Linked DNA regions of Drosophila melanogaster. The protein of the gene in region 3 interacts with the protein of the main gene of each other region in a pairwise test. Each region holds a gene or a part of one and is shown on either strand. Other genes may lie near its edges.

The links.
Region 1: the proteins of Asx (region 3) and tant interact in binary tests that used the Drosophila melanogaster proteins (3 or more experiments, as listed by UniProt).
Region 2: the proteins of Asx (region 3) and CycG interact in a two-hybrid assay, tested with the Drosophila melanogaster proteins (one study listed by BioGRID).

Annotation. Positions count from the first base shown.
Region 1 is NT_037436.4:6,053,165-6,057,634, reverse strand, and holds tant (tantalus), read right to left. Parts: upstream 2,500-4,470; 5' UTR 2,216-2,499; intron 2,059-2,215; 5' UTR 2,028-2,058; coding exon 1,972-2,027; intron 1,919-1,971; coding exon 1,075-1,918; 3' UTR 633-1,074; downstream 1-632. Other genes in the region: Jon65Ai (jonah 65Ai), read left to right, coding at 3,219-4,007; Jon65Aii (jonah 65Aii), read right to left, coding at 4,444-4,470. UniProt on the Drosophila melanogaster protein: Potential cofactor involved in sensory organ development. Despite its interaction with the Polycomb group protein Asx, it does not regulate the expression of homeotic genes.
Region 2 is NT_033777.3:31,607,909-31,612,869, forward strand, and holds the start of CycG (cyclin G), read right to left. Parts: upstream 3,071-4,961; 5' UTR 2,973-3,070; intron 1,908-2,972; exon of another isoform or gene 1,412-1,907; intron 1-1,411. Other genes in the region: Med (medea), read left to right, coding at 3,773-3,836, 4,071-4,339, 4,426-4,780. UniProt on the Drosophila melanogaster protein: Cyclin with roles in multiple processes including transcription, meiotic recombination repair, cell cycle regulation, and promotion of normal growth and metabolism.
Region 3 is NT_033778.4:14,502,243-14,507,338, forward strand, and holds the start of Asx (additional sex combs), read left to right. Parts: upstream 1-1,984; 5' UTR 1,985-2,127; exon of another isoform or gene 2,128-2,328; intron 2,329-2,842; exon of another isoform or gene 2,843-2,925; 5' UTR 2,926-3,004; coding exon 3,005-3,240; intron 3,241-3,308; coding exon 3,309-4,239; intron 4,240-4,299; coding exon 4,300-4,903; intron 4,904-5,014; coding exon 5,015-5,096. Other genes in the region: Cpsf160 (cleavage and polyadenylation specificity factor 160), read right to left, coding at 1-219, 289-1,122. UniProt on the Drosophila melanogaster protein: Non-catalytic component of the polycomb repressive deubiquitinase (PR-DUB) complex, a complex that specifically mediates deubiquitination of histone H2A monoubiquitinated at 'Lys-119' (H2AK118ub1).

The DNA.
Region 1 (4,470 bases), on a different chromosome or scaffold from region 3:
GTGATATGTTCAAATCGAATCGAATTGAGGTAAATCAGATCGGGATTGGATCGAAATGAAGCCGAATGTAATGAGGCTGCAACAACAGTGAGGCACAACAGCATGATTATGCAAATGCAACAGCAAATGCACCACAACACACAACGCCACTGCACCACAGCACCACCCCTTGTTAGGCGGCGGTGCAGTTCGATATCGTGCGGTGGTGCGTCTATATCTATGTCTATATCTATACGTATATATTTGCTGCATAATCGCTCCCGTTGCATGTTGCACTCATTAATAATGGGCGCGTTTTTGTTACTGCATTTTATTGCACTTGCTAATCACGCGGCGGCCGTTAAATAATTGAGCTTGAACGCCACCCGGCTCGCACAATTCGTCCAGGATTTTGGGCACCTCGGTGCGTTTCGCTTCCGTTTCGCATTCGAATTGGGTTTATTTATTAGTTCATTTTAGTGTTCCTCGTTAGCGCACTCTTTACCGCCCCAAATCGGTCTTTATAGCTTATTATATCACGAAATTGGCACCACGGTTTCGGCTGGAATTTGGGGAACTGATAACTGGTCATTCAATTAATACCACGGAAACGTCTAGAATTAAATTATAAAGAAATCTCAAAAAACTATTTTATTTGTTGTCCAATAAATTATAAAATCTAACACATAAAACATTTTCATTACTTAAAAGGAAATTCATTCATGAGTTCCACAGTGTTTAAAAAGCGTTAATGAAATATATCTATCCAGGGATTTCACAAGATTTTCCGAACGACAGTGGATGGATATGTATTTTCAACTTTTATTTATTATCTTAATGGCTAAGCACAGAATCGTATTCTATGGCTGGATAAGTTTAGCTCTAGGTATAGCTCTTATTTTCTTTTCTTCTACATGCTATTTACACTCATTTATAACTTTTATGGGGCTTAAGACTAAGGTGAGAAGTTAACCAAACGAACGTAAATCCTAACTTCATAATTGGTAATCAGTACATTTATTTTTGGGCACTATTAGCTAGTTTTAATGCAATGCAAATCAATGTGGGGCGTATTTGATGGATCATTCAGTCTCTCTACTCAAAGCCCGCCGGTTGCATGAGGAACTGGTGCTGGCTGCTCATTGTCGGCAGCTGTATGTCTTCCATGGTCATGGATGTCTTGGGGATGTTGACGGCCTCCGCCGATCCTCCCGCCTCTGCATCATCCCCCTCCAGCATGGCACTGTCGAAGCTCTTATTCAGACGATCGTGGAACTCGGTCATGGAGATTTTCTTGAGTGCGAAACGCTTGCCAAAGGTCTTCTTCACCTTCTGGCGGCGTCTCTTCGACAGGATTTTGTTCTTGTTCAGGCCATCGCTGAAGGATATTGCCCGGCGGAGTTTGCGACCCCACACCTTAACTACTTTCACTTGGCTGCTGATGGAGCACTCTTCGCTGTCGTCCTCTGCATCGGCGGCATTCTCATCGCTGGGTTCCTCGAAGATTGTCTCCAGATTGGTGGGCGTGAACTTTTTCATGCGCCTGCTGGTGTAGATCTTTTCGATGCTTTTAAGTGTTTGGGCATTTGTGTTCAGTTCTTTGCGTTGCTTCTTTTTGATGGGTTTCATGATGGCGCTGCAGATCCGGTTAAAGTTGTCCTTGGACACCCTGGCGGGCATTCTGCGACGAGCCACGCCCGCTCGAGCTCCAAAAGTGGAACTGCGTCTGGAGGATCCACTGATGCAATCGCTGTCGTCATCGTTGTCCTCGCAGCGACTCAATTGCGAGTCTACATCGTCGGAGTCATGCGATTCACTGCTGACATTGTCATCGGATTCGGGTGGAGCTATGGGCTCGGATGTGTCCTGCATCTCCTCCATGTCCGACAAGGCCATCTGATTTAGTTGCCACGACAGATTCGAGTTAGTAGTGGGTGACCTGAAGTATGAATTTTGGGCTAGTTTCAGATATAAATTATTCTAAAGGCCTACCTGTTGTCTTTTGCTTGAAACGTGATCTTGGCAAAGTCGTAGACTATGTTATCCATTATATTTGACGTTGAATTCTAGAAATCATTCCTAACAGAAAACAAACGGAAAGCATACATATTAGTTATCTTTTTGAAAGGTTTATTCCTTGTATCTTAGCTCAAAGATATCAGTTAAAGCCGTCGGAACTGCTCAGTAACTCGAGTTAGAGATCTTGGAAGTCAAAGATTACCTAAAGTTTACTAACCTTTGCAAAATAGCGCATTTTCTTCTTGTAAAACCCTTTTTTCTGCAGGCGTCTGTATGACAATACAGATCTTTGTCACTCCGGGGGGTAATTTATCCGCAAATTCCTATTTTTTGGCTAAACATATCGCTGCCAAATAAGGTTTTTCAGAAATCTGGATTTAACTACATGCAATGATGCTGGAAAGTCCTATTTTGCAGACAATTAAATGACAGAATTATAACTTTTGTGTTCTTTTTGTAAAATAAACAGCTTGGATTAGAGCTGGTTCAACCAGTCACAATTGTATCGATAGGTAGTGTACTTGGGTTCAGCCAAAACCGATAGTTTCGGATAAATGAACAGCTATCGATTACCTATTTTTGCGGAATATTCAAAATAAGTGGCACATTTAATAAAGCGTATTCAATAGCATGAAACCGAATCTAATGGGCTTTGGCAGATGAAATGTATGCTGCCTAATGATTATGTCCGAAACTTTTTTTTCACTAAAAAAAAAACAACTGTGCGAAAAGGAAATGTGACACGGACTAATGGGTTGGTGCATTCGCTTACTGCCAGAGTGGTAGCACTGCTTGTAAGCAGCCGTTGCATTCAAGTAGTGTAAATGTTTTCTTTTTGATAAAAAGAAAGGCTGCTATTGGTTTATTTATCAAAGAGTTCAAAAGTGGAACGTAAATGTGTTCATTTGTTTTGTAACATAAAACAAAGTATATTCTCGTTTAGTATAATAAAGCAAATATATTTTATTGTTATAATAAATTCAAATTTGACAAGCCTCCTTTGATAATGTCCACATTTAAATCTTATCGAAAGTGCCAATTTCCATTCAAAAGATTTCGTCAAGTTGGCTAACTCCGCACACAAAAACAAAAGAACCGTGGTTATCTGAGAGTTGTAAATTACTTTCCCAGCGGATTATTTCGTTTCCGGTTGAAAATGAAGCTATAAATGTGGCGACTGTGTTTGTTTGCGTTTATTAAGTGTGCTGAACTTAAGGAACATGAAGGTGCTAGCGGTCCTACTTTTGGGGGTGATTGCCTCCGCCACGGCGTTCGAGAAGCCGGTTTTCTGGAAGGATGTGCCCGTGGGCAAGGCCTCGATCGAAGGTAGGATCACCATGGGATATCCTGCCTACGAAGGCAAGGTGCCCTACATTGTCGGTTTGGGCTTCAGCAAGAACGGTGGAGGCACCTGGTGCGGCGGTTCCATTATCGGCAACACCTGGGTGATGACCGCCAAGCATTGTACCGATGGCATGGAATCGGTGACCATCTACTACGGAGCCCTCTGGCGCCTGCAGGCACAGTACACCCACTGGGTGGGACGTAGCGACTTCATTGAGCACGGATCTGGAGACATCTCCCTCATTCGCACTCCCCACGTAGACTTCTGGTCGCTGGTCAACAAGGTGGAGCTCCCCAGGTACGACGATCGCTACAACAACTACCAAGGCTGGTGGGCTCTGGTCTCCGGATGGGGCAAGACCTCCGATGAGGGCGGTGTCTCCGAGTACCTGAACTGCGTCGATGTCCAGATTGGCGAAAACTCCGTGTGCGAGAACTACTACGGCAGCTTCTCCGGCGACCTAATCTGCATCCCCACTCCCGAGAACAAGGGCACCTGCAGCGGCGACTCCGGTGGCCCACTGGTCATCCACGACGGCAACCGCCAGGTGGGCATTGTGTCCTTCGGCTCCTCCGCCGGCTGCCTCTCCAACGGTCCCAAGGGTATGGTGCGCGTCACCAGCTACCTGGACTGGATCCGCGACAACACTGGCATCTCTTATTAAAAAGATGTTTTAATAAAATAATGAAAATATATTGCAACCTCCTGAAAGTGTGATCTTAATAGATAAGCTATGATAAGCTTAGATTTGAGCGCCTAATTAAGGGTCATGTTAAATGCAGTATTAGTTGTTATCTGTAATATACTAATCGATATATATTAATAGAATAAACTCCTTTTGGTGAAACTTAGTTTCAAAACCAAATCGATTTTTTAAAGAAGTCTTGGACTCTTCTTCCAGAGGATATAGTTTAGTTAGCTTAAGGAAGTAGTTTAAAATGGTACAGAAACCAAATCACGTATGTGTTTGTAATCTACCTATCTATCTTGGGATTAGTCATAGCTACGGCAAAATATAATGTAGCTATGATAGCTAAAGATTAACAAAGGATTTAAGTGAACTTTTTTATTCGTTTAATTTCTCAAAATAGCGAACTTTATTAGTAAGAAATGCCAGTATGGTCGCG
Region 2 (4,961 bases), on a different chromosome or scaffold from region 3:
AGAAAACAGGTAGAAAGCAGACGATATCTGCTAAAAAGGCGCCACCCTAACCACAAGTGGAAGCCAAATAGATGTCAGCTGGATTTCGGGTTATTTAGCCTTAAACTAATCATTTTGGTTCAATGGCTTTAGGGGAATATATAAACGGGAATTGTAAGTTAATCTCTTTATTCCAAAAGCGACTTACTTAGTAGACGTGACCCAAATAGTTGGACATTGCCCACCTAAGGGTTAATGATGAATTCTCCCCTTTTCACACCCGTTCCCATCTCTATTCATTCCACAAAGAAGGTAGGCAGAGAATAGAAGAGACCTTTTTACATGTAAACAAGTGTGGAGAGGAATAAATAAAACAACGGTACAGCAACACCCACACACCCACACCAACCCAACTGTTTCATTAGTATGCGTGCGTGGGGTCGTTTTATGCGTTGTATTTATATTATTTTGGAGGCTATGGAAAATATGAAAATCAACAAATTAAGCAATTCTGCGCGACTTTGCGACTGCGCAACAAATTGAAATCAACAAATATGACCCAGAAAACAAAGTAAATGCGCTGAAGGTGAAATCAGGAGAAACGGGGTACAAAACGGAATGTAATAGCAGTTGTTACTTGTGTTTTCCAGAAACAAGTTGCTTCCTAAAATGAGCAAAAGTGTTTTTGAAACGAAAACAAGTAGTTTTATCCGTCGCACATATTTTATTTTTGGCTGACGCAATTCCAAGCCAGAGCACGCACACTCCCAAACCAATCAAGTTGCTGTGCTGGTGTGAGTGTGTGTATGAGGTAAAAATCCGAATGGGAACAACATACACACATACAAAGTCTTTGTTTGCAGCTCGCGTGTGTGTACGATGGCAAGGGAACTTTGGAAGCGGAACACACAAATTGTGGGGAGAACAACAAAGGAAAAGGGGAATATGAAGTAAAACAATTGACGCAAATTGGAAATAAAACAGATATGCAAATGGGGGAAGGCAATAGGAATGGGTTTTCTAGGCGAATAAGGCGGTGCCAAGGAAACAAAGGCGTACATTAGTCTCATTACATATGTATGTTGTACAGCTTGCATAAAAAGCACAGCCCCTCAAACACACATACCACTGCAAGCAGCATAGTTCCTCGCCCACCCCTCGTTCGACCCTCTCGCTCACTCTGTAAGCAACGACCTACGAATAGCGGACCCCAAATCCACTCTCTCGCTTACACACACAAACACCAGACAAACAGCTGTGAAACAAATGGAAGCGAAACAAACACGTAAATGAACGAATTTTGTATGTATGCCTAATATAATTTCTTTTTTCCTACAAACAAAATCATCTGATAGATGAAGAAAAAAACCTTGATTCTCTTTTTGCATTTTATCGACTTTTCCACTCTTAAATAAATTTAGCATTTTCTTACGTTTTTACAGCCATTTTGTTGTTTTGTGTTGCGCAGGAATGTTGAGATGAACTTTGTTTAGTTGTGAATTTTTGCTTCTATTGCACTCGAAAATAAGTGAATAAATTGGCTGGCAGCTTTACGCTTATTCAATTGCGTCAGATAGTTAGCTATAAAACCTTGTCGTTGGCCATTTAAGCTAGTTGTTAACTAATTTGTACTGCGTTTGTATCACAATTGGAACTCTGTTTATTAGGCTGGCATTTTATCCTCAATTTTTCCCGTCTGCGGATCGATTTTTCCCACACACACTGGGCTGAAGGTGCTTGGGACTTTTCTCCATCAGCTGTGCATTTTCCTCCTGCTGATTTTTTTTAGTTCTGCTTTAGCAAAGCTTTGTACGTTTGCACTTGGTCCTTTTCAATTTCTATTTTCTATTCCTAAGCAAACAAACACATTCAAACACTCGCGCTCGCAAAAACGGTACTTCTCCGCTTTGTTGTTTTTTTACGAATGAAGAATATTGTGAGCGACCAGTGTTACCAGTAGGCCTACAAGTTCCACAGATTTGGTGCGAACTGAAATTTGTACTATAAAATACCCTAAGCCAGCGGAAGCGATAGTCCCTCACTATCGATGTGTATGTTATTCGATTCTCTCTGTTAACTAACATTTCGCTGTAATGTTATCGAACCCTAATAAGCCCGCAATAATTCTTTTTTGATGTCGAACAATTTTGAACACCGAACTCAAATAAGCCCGCAATAATTCTTTTTGGTGTCGAACAATTTTCAACACCGTAAGCCTGATAGGGATTAAATAATAACTTTATGCTTCTGAATGCGGGATGTAGACAATTTTATGACAAGTGATTTAATTAGTTAGGGAATTAAAAAATATGAGGGCAACAAATCCTCGAAGTTAAATTGAGTTCCCAAATTACTATTACAAATGGAAGCTTCTGTTTTGGCAGGGAATCGCAAACTTCCCACACATAATTTCACAATCAATGTCATTGCCAAAATATAAACATATTTACATATGTACGCCGCAAATCGAAATTCCGTTCAGATAAGCGTTGAAATTACGCATTTTGATAAGATATTTTGAAGATGGAAACTACGCAGCAAACTGTTTTACAAAAGCCGGAGAAATGCATTTCCGGCGAAAAGGAAATTCGTTACTGTTGCCAAGTGAACATTTTCAAGAGAAGAGGGGAAGGGGGTGGTCTATTTCAGGCCCCACTACACACACATGCATATTTCTAGAAACAACCTGTCACACAAACGACTCATCAACGGCAATTTTTTATGAATGAATTTTAGCAATTAAAGCAATGGAAAGAAACTTTTCAATGGGAATGCGAAAACATCAATTAACTTGTTGCACAAGATGTTCAGCCTTCGATTTTCCCCAATCTCAACGATAAGAAACTTTCCTCAATTTCGTCACACACACACACACATGCGAATGGGAAAAAACGCGTGGCGATTGATTTTCGGCCTTTCAAAAAGTTCGTTTTACGCACTGAACAGCCCGCGAAATGAGTGTAAGTCGGTGTAACAAATCTCATGGCACTTACCCGGATGCCTCTGCGTTTTGATCAGTATCTGCTTTTCTTGCTTCTTATTTCCAAAAAATATAAACTTATTCTCAAATCAAATCTTCGAGAACTGACCAAACTAGGTGTTTGTAAAAATCCAAGGTAGGTATTTCGCGCTTTGCCCATCTGGCAACGCCCGCCCATGTTGTATCGCGAAACGGTCACTCTGCACAGCCGCAACAAAATAAAAAAGGAAAAAAAGGCAAATTGGCTGGAAAACTGGATTTCGTCGGGCGGAAAATTGTACTTTCGAGTTTCCCAAGCAGCCAATTAAGTGCAAACTATGAAATTCCACGAAAAACAGTAAAAGCCAGTCTCTACCAAGGATTTGAGCAGGAAACTTCTCGCTGGGCGTGTGTGTGTGCAGTGCGTGTGCCAGTGTGCGTAAAGAAGGAGGTGGAGAAGACGAAGGAGAGGAGAGTTTTCGCAGGGAAATTACGCCAACTTTGTGGGAGTTCAAGTCGAGTTAGTTCAGCGCGCGCGTGTGTGTGTGTATGCGTGTGTGCAACACCCCCCAAGCCCACTCACACAAAGCCATCCAGCCGCCGTTTGTTTTGTGCTCACATTCGCGTGCCGCCTTTGTTTGGCTTTTCTTTGGCCAGTGATTCTACGCCTTGTTTTTGCCCGCCGCCGGCTTCGATTACGCCTGCTCCAGCCACCGTACGATCCCCACTCCGCTCTCCGCCGCTCACGATCCCCATTCCGGATCCGGATCCAGCAACAACGCCGCCGTGGATGCCCATGCTCGCACTCTGGGCTCGCTCGCCCAGGACTTTGGCATGGGCGGCGGCTCGGGGGCGTGTCCGCCCGCCCACATGTACGGCGCCGTAGCCCCGCAGGACAGTAAGTGAAGTTCTCTAGAGGAGCAGCAGTCATAGTGAACTCCTTTTCGAGTTGTTATTCTAAAATCGATTTGTGGCCAAGTATTGTGGACAATCCTAAATCTTACCGTAGCATTATTATTTACTGTTGATAAACTTGAAACTCTTTGAAATTTAAAATGAAATTGGATTGAGCTGTACAGTATCCGTTGATCTACTAAAAAAACTCAGAGCTAATTACCCCCACCATCTGCAGTAATTGTCCGGGACATGGTGCAAATGCCGCCGCCGCCCTCGAACGCCCCCACATCGGCGGACGCCTGTCTGAGCATCGTCCACTCGCTGATGTGCCATCGGCAGGGCGGCGAAAGCGAGGGATTTGCCAAGCGAGCCATCGAGTCGCTGGTCAAAAAGCTCAAGGAGAAGCGCGACGAACTGGACTCCTTGATCACGGCCATCACCACGAACGGAGCCCATCCCAGCAAGTGCGTGACCATACAGCGCACCCTCGATGGTCGCTTGCAGGTAGGTTGAGTCTCTCAGACTTTCTGCATCGAATTTGATAATGTGTATAAGCAATGAACTTACCACTTTACCATTCTCTATCGAAGGTTGCTGGACGCAAGGGTTTTCCGCACGTCATATACGCCCGGATTTGGCGCTGGCCTGACCTGCACAAGAACGAGCTGAAGCACGTCAAGTACTGCGCCTTCGCCTTCGATCTCAAGTGCGACTCGGTGTGCGTGAATCCCTACCACTACGAGCGCGTCGTCTCTCCGGGCATCGATCTGTCCGGCCTGAGTCTGCAGTCGGGCCCCAGTCGCCTGGTGAAGGACGAATACTCAGCGGGTCCGCTGGTGGGCAGCATGGACATCGATGGCAACGACATCGGCACCATACAGCACCATCCCACGCAAATGGTGGGGCCCGGCGGCTACGGATATCCACAGGGTCCCTCTGAATATGGTAAGACTACAGTATTGACATTAATTCGATATAGTTTGAGTTTTCGATACTGGATTTCTTGATAATTTTTCTATATTATTTATAATTTTAAACTGAATTGTTCATTTTACTTAATTGTTTACATTCGTTTATTTCTTTGGTTTTAATAATTTATTTATATTTGTTTCCTTTTGGCGATTTT
Region 3 (5,096 bases):
GCGAAGCGAGATTACCAGCTTGTCGACATCAATAAATGCAAAGTTAGCACAATCCAAACTAATACGAACGCCATCCTGTGGCTTCAGTGGAAATGCGGTGCTGTTATCCGCTGAACTGTTTAAACTGACGCCATATGGAGGGACACTCTGATTGAGATAGATTACAGCATTGACTGTCATTACCAGACAACCCCCAATTGGCTTCTGAATCGGGTAAACCTGCAAGGGAAAAATGACACATTAAACGTTGTGACTCCTAAAAGGTAAGTGGCATTTTCAAACACCCACTTGTAGGCAGTCAAAAGGTAGACTGTTCACGGTCCAAATAATCGGATGCACTCGCTGTTGAATGTTCAACGAAATGGCCACCAAAACGCAAGTATCGGAGCGCACCTTTATTCTTCCCGGACAGGTTCGCACCGGTTCGTAGAGTATAAGCAGCGTTGGTTCGTAGTAGCCGTGCAGGAATTGTATGTCCAGAACATTGTCGATCTTCTCATCAAGATCTCGCAGTGCTATCAGGTACGATGCCATAATAGGCGTCCTGCTGACCATTGCCGTCGGAGCCTTTTTAATTGGCTTCACATCCGCTAGCTCGATCTCGTCCAGGCTGTTGTCCTTGCGAAAGGGCAGTACCACCAGCCGTTTGCCGTAGACCAACATGACGGCACACCTGGAATCGGGATCTACGCGAACTGTGGGCACAAAATAGCGACCCGTCCAACCACCACGTATGTCATCTTCCTCGAAATAGTGAAGTGAGAGAGTTTTCAGCGCAAACGTATCGGGATCGTGCTGCAGTACGGACAATTTCGCGTCCTTGAAACTAATCAACAGCGCATCCCGCATGGCACCCGCCAATGAGACGCACTGCAGCGACATCACATTGCCGTAGAGCGTATATGTGGCTAGGCATTCCAGTCGCATTTTGGGCGCCAGACGCATCTCGCTGGGATTCAGCTTTTGACGCTGGCTCGCCTCCACGTTGGGCGCTATCCGGTACACCTTTAGTACATTGGCGCCCGCCACCACCAGGTTCTCATCCAGATTGTTAAAGAAGCGGCATGCTATCGAAAACTCCACCGCCGTGGCGGAGTGCGTCTGCTTGCACATCGAAAACATTGCGGTGGTTTAATTGGTGTCGCAATTTCTTAAAACATTATTAACAATTTCAGCCAGTTTAACAATTTGCCGGCCCAACACACACAGCAGCTGCGGAACTATCGATTGTGGGTGCAAAGTTATCGCTCATTGGATGTGAAAACTTGTTCGCCGTTTTAGTGGGTGGAATACCATATTGGCTTGATTTTTGTCTTGCTTTTTGTTTTAGCGGTTTTTAAGTATTTCGTTAGTTAATATCTTGCAAAATGTATTTGACCAAATAAAAGCTATATTTTTTTATCTGAACATGTAAAATGATACGTATGTTACGTATTTGCATAAGTTACGAGTCTAAACATTTAGAAATTATTTATAGTGCATTTTGGTCTTAGAGCTTGTATATTTTTATAACAATTATTTTGTATGCACACGTTATACAATTATATTATATATGTACGTAAATGTAACATAACTTAAAATCAAATAACCGCTACGTACGTAACGCTTCATATTTGCCAGCTTATTTCTAGCTACTTCTTGACCTGATCGTTCAATCGATAGTTGGCAGCCCTGGTGCGGGAGCAGTGACTGCGCAAATACATCCGCTCCTATCCGATGTATCGGATGCGACATCAACAACCCCATCGGACTTGGCAGGGCAGCCAGAAATTCGAGCGTTTTGCGTTTAAAACTGGCCACGAAAAAACATTAACTAGTTGGTGTGATTAGTGACTAGTGTTTGCGTTGTAGTAACTTAAACAATTTCATTCAATTAAACGCAGCTTTTCTGCATAGTGAGTGTGAGAGAGAAACGGGCGCTGCGCCCGATACGGGAAAACGCGTGCGCCAGAAAGGGACCGGCATAGTTGGCTAGAAAAGAATCATTTTGTAGCTGCTTTGTTTGTGTGTTTGGCATTCACATTTCCCCCATTCAATATTTAATTTAGTGAGCCATTAACGAGGCGGAAATCGGCATTATGCAAAAGATAGTGCTCTAGTACAGATCTAAATCCGTACCATAAATAGGTAAAATACCCGCAATTAGTTACTTAAATAGGAACAAAAGTCATTTTTCTACTTCTCCGATGTGCTAGTGTGCATTTGTGTGTGTTTGTGTGTATGTGTATGCGTGCGTGAGAAAAAAATATAACCAACTTTGCAGGTCGTTCGTATTTGTTGTTGTTACTGCTGTTACATTGTTGATTTGTTTAAAATTACTGCTGGCAAGTGAGAAAAGTCGTGAGGAAAACAAAAACAATAATTAAAACTAAGGCATAACAAACGGAAAAATCTCCGTATAGCCGCAATTTCATTACATATAAAAAAATAAAACACACGCACACACTTCTAACGAAATATATGCGCACATACATGCACACAGATGACGTACATACATATACAAAGGGCGCAACGTTAAAATTATACAGACACTTTTTGCCTTAAAATGGACAATTCGTTAGTGCAGCCGATCAGGATTAATTTCGTGCACTATAGTATTAACCAAAAACTAGTTTTGCCATCTAATATGGCATCTAAAATCGACTGGGAAGCTTGAAAATGTTAAAAACAAGCAATATTGGCTGAACCCCAACACGGATAAATCAAATAAACAAATTTAAATTTGAAAACTATAAGAAGTTACATTCATTTTTGTTACACATCATTTTGCATTTGTATATGATCATTGTCAAGTTGCCAAGCAATTTAAAGTAAAGAATTAATGCTCTGTTTTTAATTTATATCCAAATAAACCATCACATAACAAAACTATTTCATTGTTAACAAAAAAATAATATTAAATTATCTATTTCTCAACATTTCCAGTGTGTGCGGAAGAAACTTGCTTGACATGGGTGCATGGATCAAAAGTTCGCTGTAAATAGATTAGGCAGAGCGATTAACAATGAAAACCATTACGCCGGATACGACGACGACGACGTCGTCGCAGCACCAACAACTTCTCATTCCACAAGCGGATCAGCATCACCAGCCGATGCTGCAGCAGCAATCCCTGTTGGCCGCTCCACCGCCTACGATGATAATGGAGCATGTGAATCTGGTGGACGACGACGAGAAGGATCCTCTTGCGCTGGAGCAACTGGAAGTGTCACCGTCTACCAAGCACACACACAGTCTCAGGTTAGTTCTAAAACGATTTACCCGAGCGCCACGAGAATCTCTAAATTTCTATACTAATTTTATTCCAGACGCCACCTGCCACGCATTATCGTGAAACCAATACCACCTGAGAAGAAACCGATGGCGCCCAGCGAAGAGGCTGCCGTCAGTACTGCTCCTGCCCCGCCCACGCGTTTAATATGCAGCCGACGCATTCAGCAACAGCAACAGGTCAAAGCGGCAGCAGCAGCGGCGGCGGCAGCAGCGGCGGCAGCAGCAGCAGCAGCGGCCGCAGCACAAGCCCAAGCCACCTCCAGCTATCCATCCGCCATCTCACCCGGCAGCAAGGCGGGCACCTCTCAAGCTTCGACCATGCGGGAGGTCCTGGCCTCCATACCCGGTTTTAGTGTTAAGCCCCGTCGGAGGAGCAATAAGAAGCTGACGACAGCAGCGCAGATTGAGCAAACAAAAGACGGAAAGATCGACCTGGAGACCCCCGACTCCATACTGGCCTCCACCAACTTAAGAGCGCTGTTGAACAAGCAAACGTTCTCGCTTTTGCCACCGCTCTATCAATACAATCTCATACAACTGCTGCCCAGCGTGGATCGCGAGGCCAGCGAACTAGAGCAACCTAGCAGTAGCGCAAGTGGAGGCAGTCCATCGGAGGCTATAAGGCTAAGTGCCTCCTGTCTAAACAACGAGTTTTTTGCCCGAGCCTGCTTGGAGTGGCGGGAACGACTAAGCGAAGGCGAGTTTACACCCGAAAACCAGCTGAAACTTAAAACGGAAGCAGAGCGCGAAAAGAACAAGTTGGATCCCTGGAAGCTGAAACACTTTGAGCCCTTCTGGGGCGAGAAGAATTCTAGGGGGAAGGATAAGGATAAGTTAGAAAGCGATTGCAAGAATCAGAAGCTTTCGGCAAGCATTAAGAGTGAGCCCAAACCACCAGCGACATCGCAACAAAAACCACTGCAACAAGCAACATGTGATAATGAGACTGAATTAAAATTTGATTTGGTAAGTTACCAAATATTCCCCATTATTTATATCCCAGTTATATTATTGAAAAACTTGCAGAGCACAAAGTGCGAAACGACATCAGCTAAAACTACAGTAGCAGTGGCAGTAGCAGATAAATCAAGCACGTTTCCACCCACTGGCAGCCAGAATAATGTGCTTAACGAACAGCAACGCCGTGTCCTCAAACGTCCATCGAGCAGTCCTTCGCAGCGCAAGCAGGCACCCACAACGATAGCGACCATTAATTTGGACGATGATCTCGACGAGCTGCCCAGCACATCAAAGGACAGCAAGCAGCCGAAGATGGACGAAATTGTTCCTAATGCGTCAGGGAATGTTGTCGCAGCTCCAATGGTTGATGTTGTGGATCACTCTGCAGTCGAAATGAAAATCAAGGACGAGCAACAGCATCAGCGACAACATCAGCCACTTATCAACAGTACCTGTGATAAAATTGAGCCATCTGAATGCAGTAAGGAGATGATCGTTGCCATGAAACAAGTGGATTCTAAGGAAGATGTGGACTCCATTGCATCGGCGGCTGCCATGCCAGCAATTGCTGCCGTTACCCCACATACACCAAAGCCGGAAGCGTTAGCACCAAATCCGGATGTGGCTAACCAATTTGTAAGCTACTTACAAAACGTCGAACTAGCAGCTGGTAAGTAAGAGCTATTCAGAGCGAACAATATAGATAGCATTGCATTAGCTATATTAAGAGTACTCCACCCATATAAATGGCTTATTTAAATTGGCATTACTATTATTGCAGAAACCAAAGCGCCTTTGGACAATTCAAACGAGGCAGATATAACGACAGGAACAAATAGCCATGATTTCGTTTTCTCAGATAC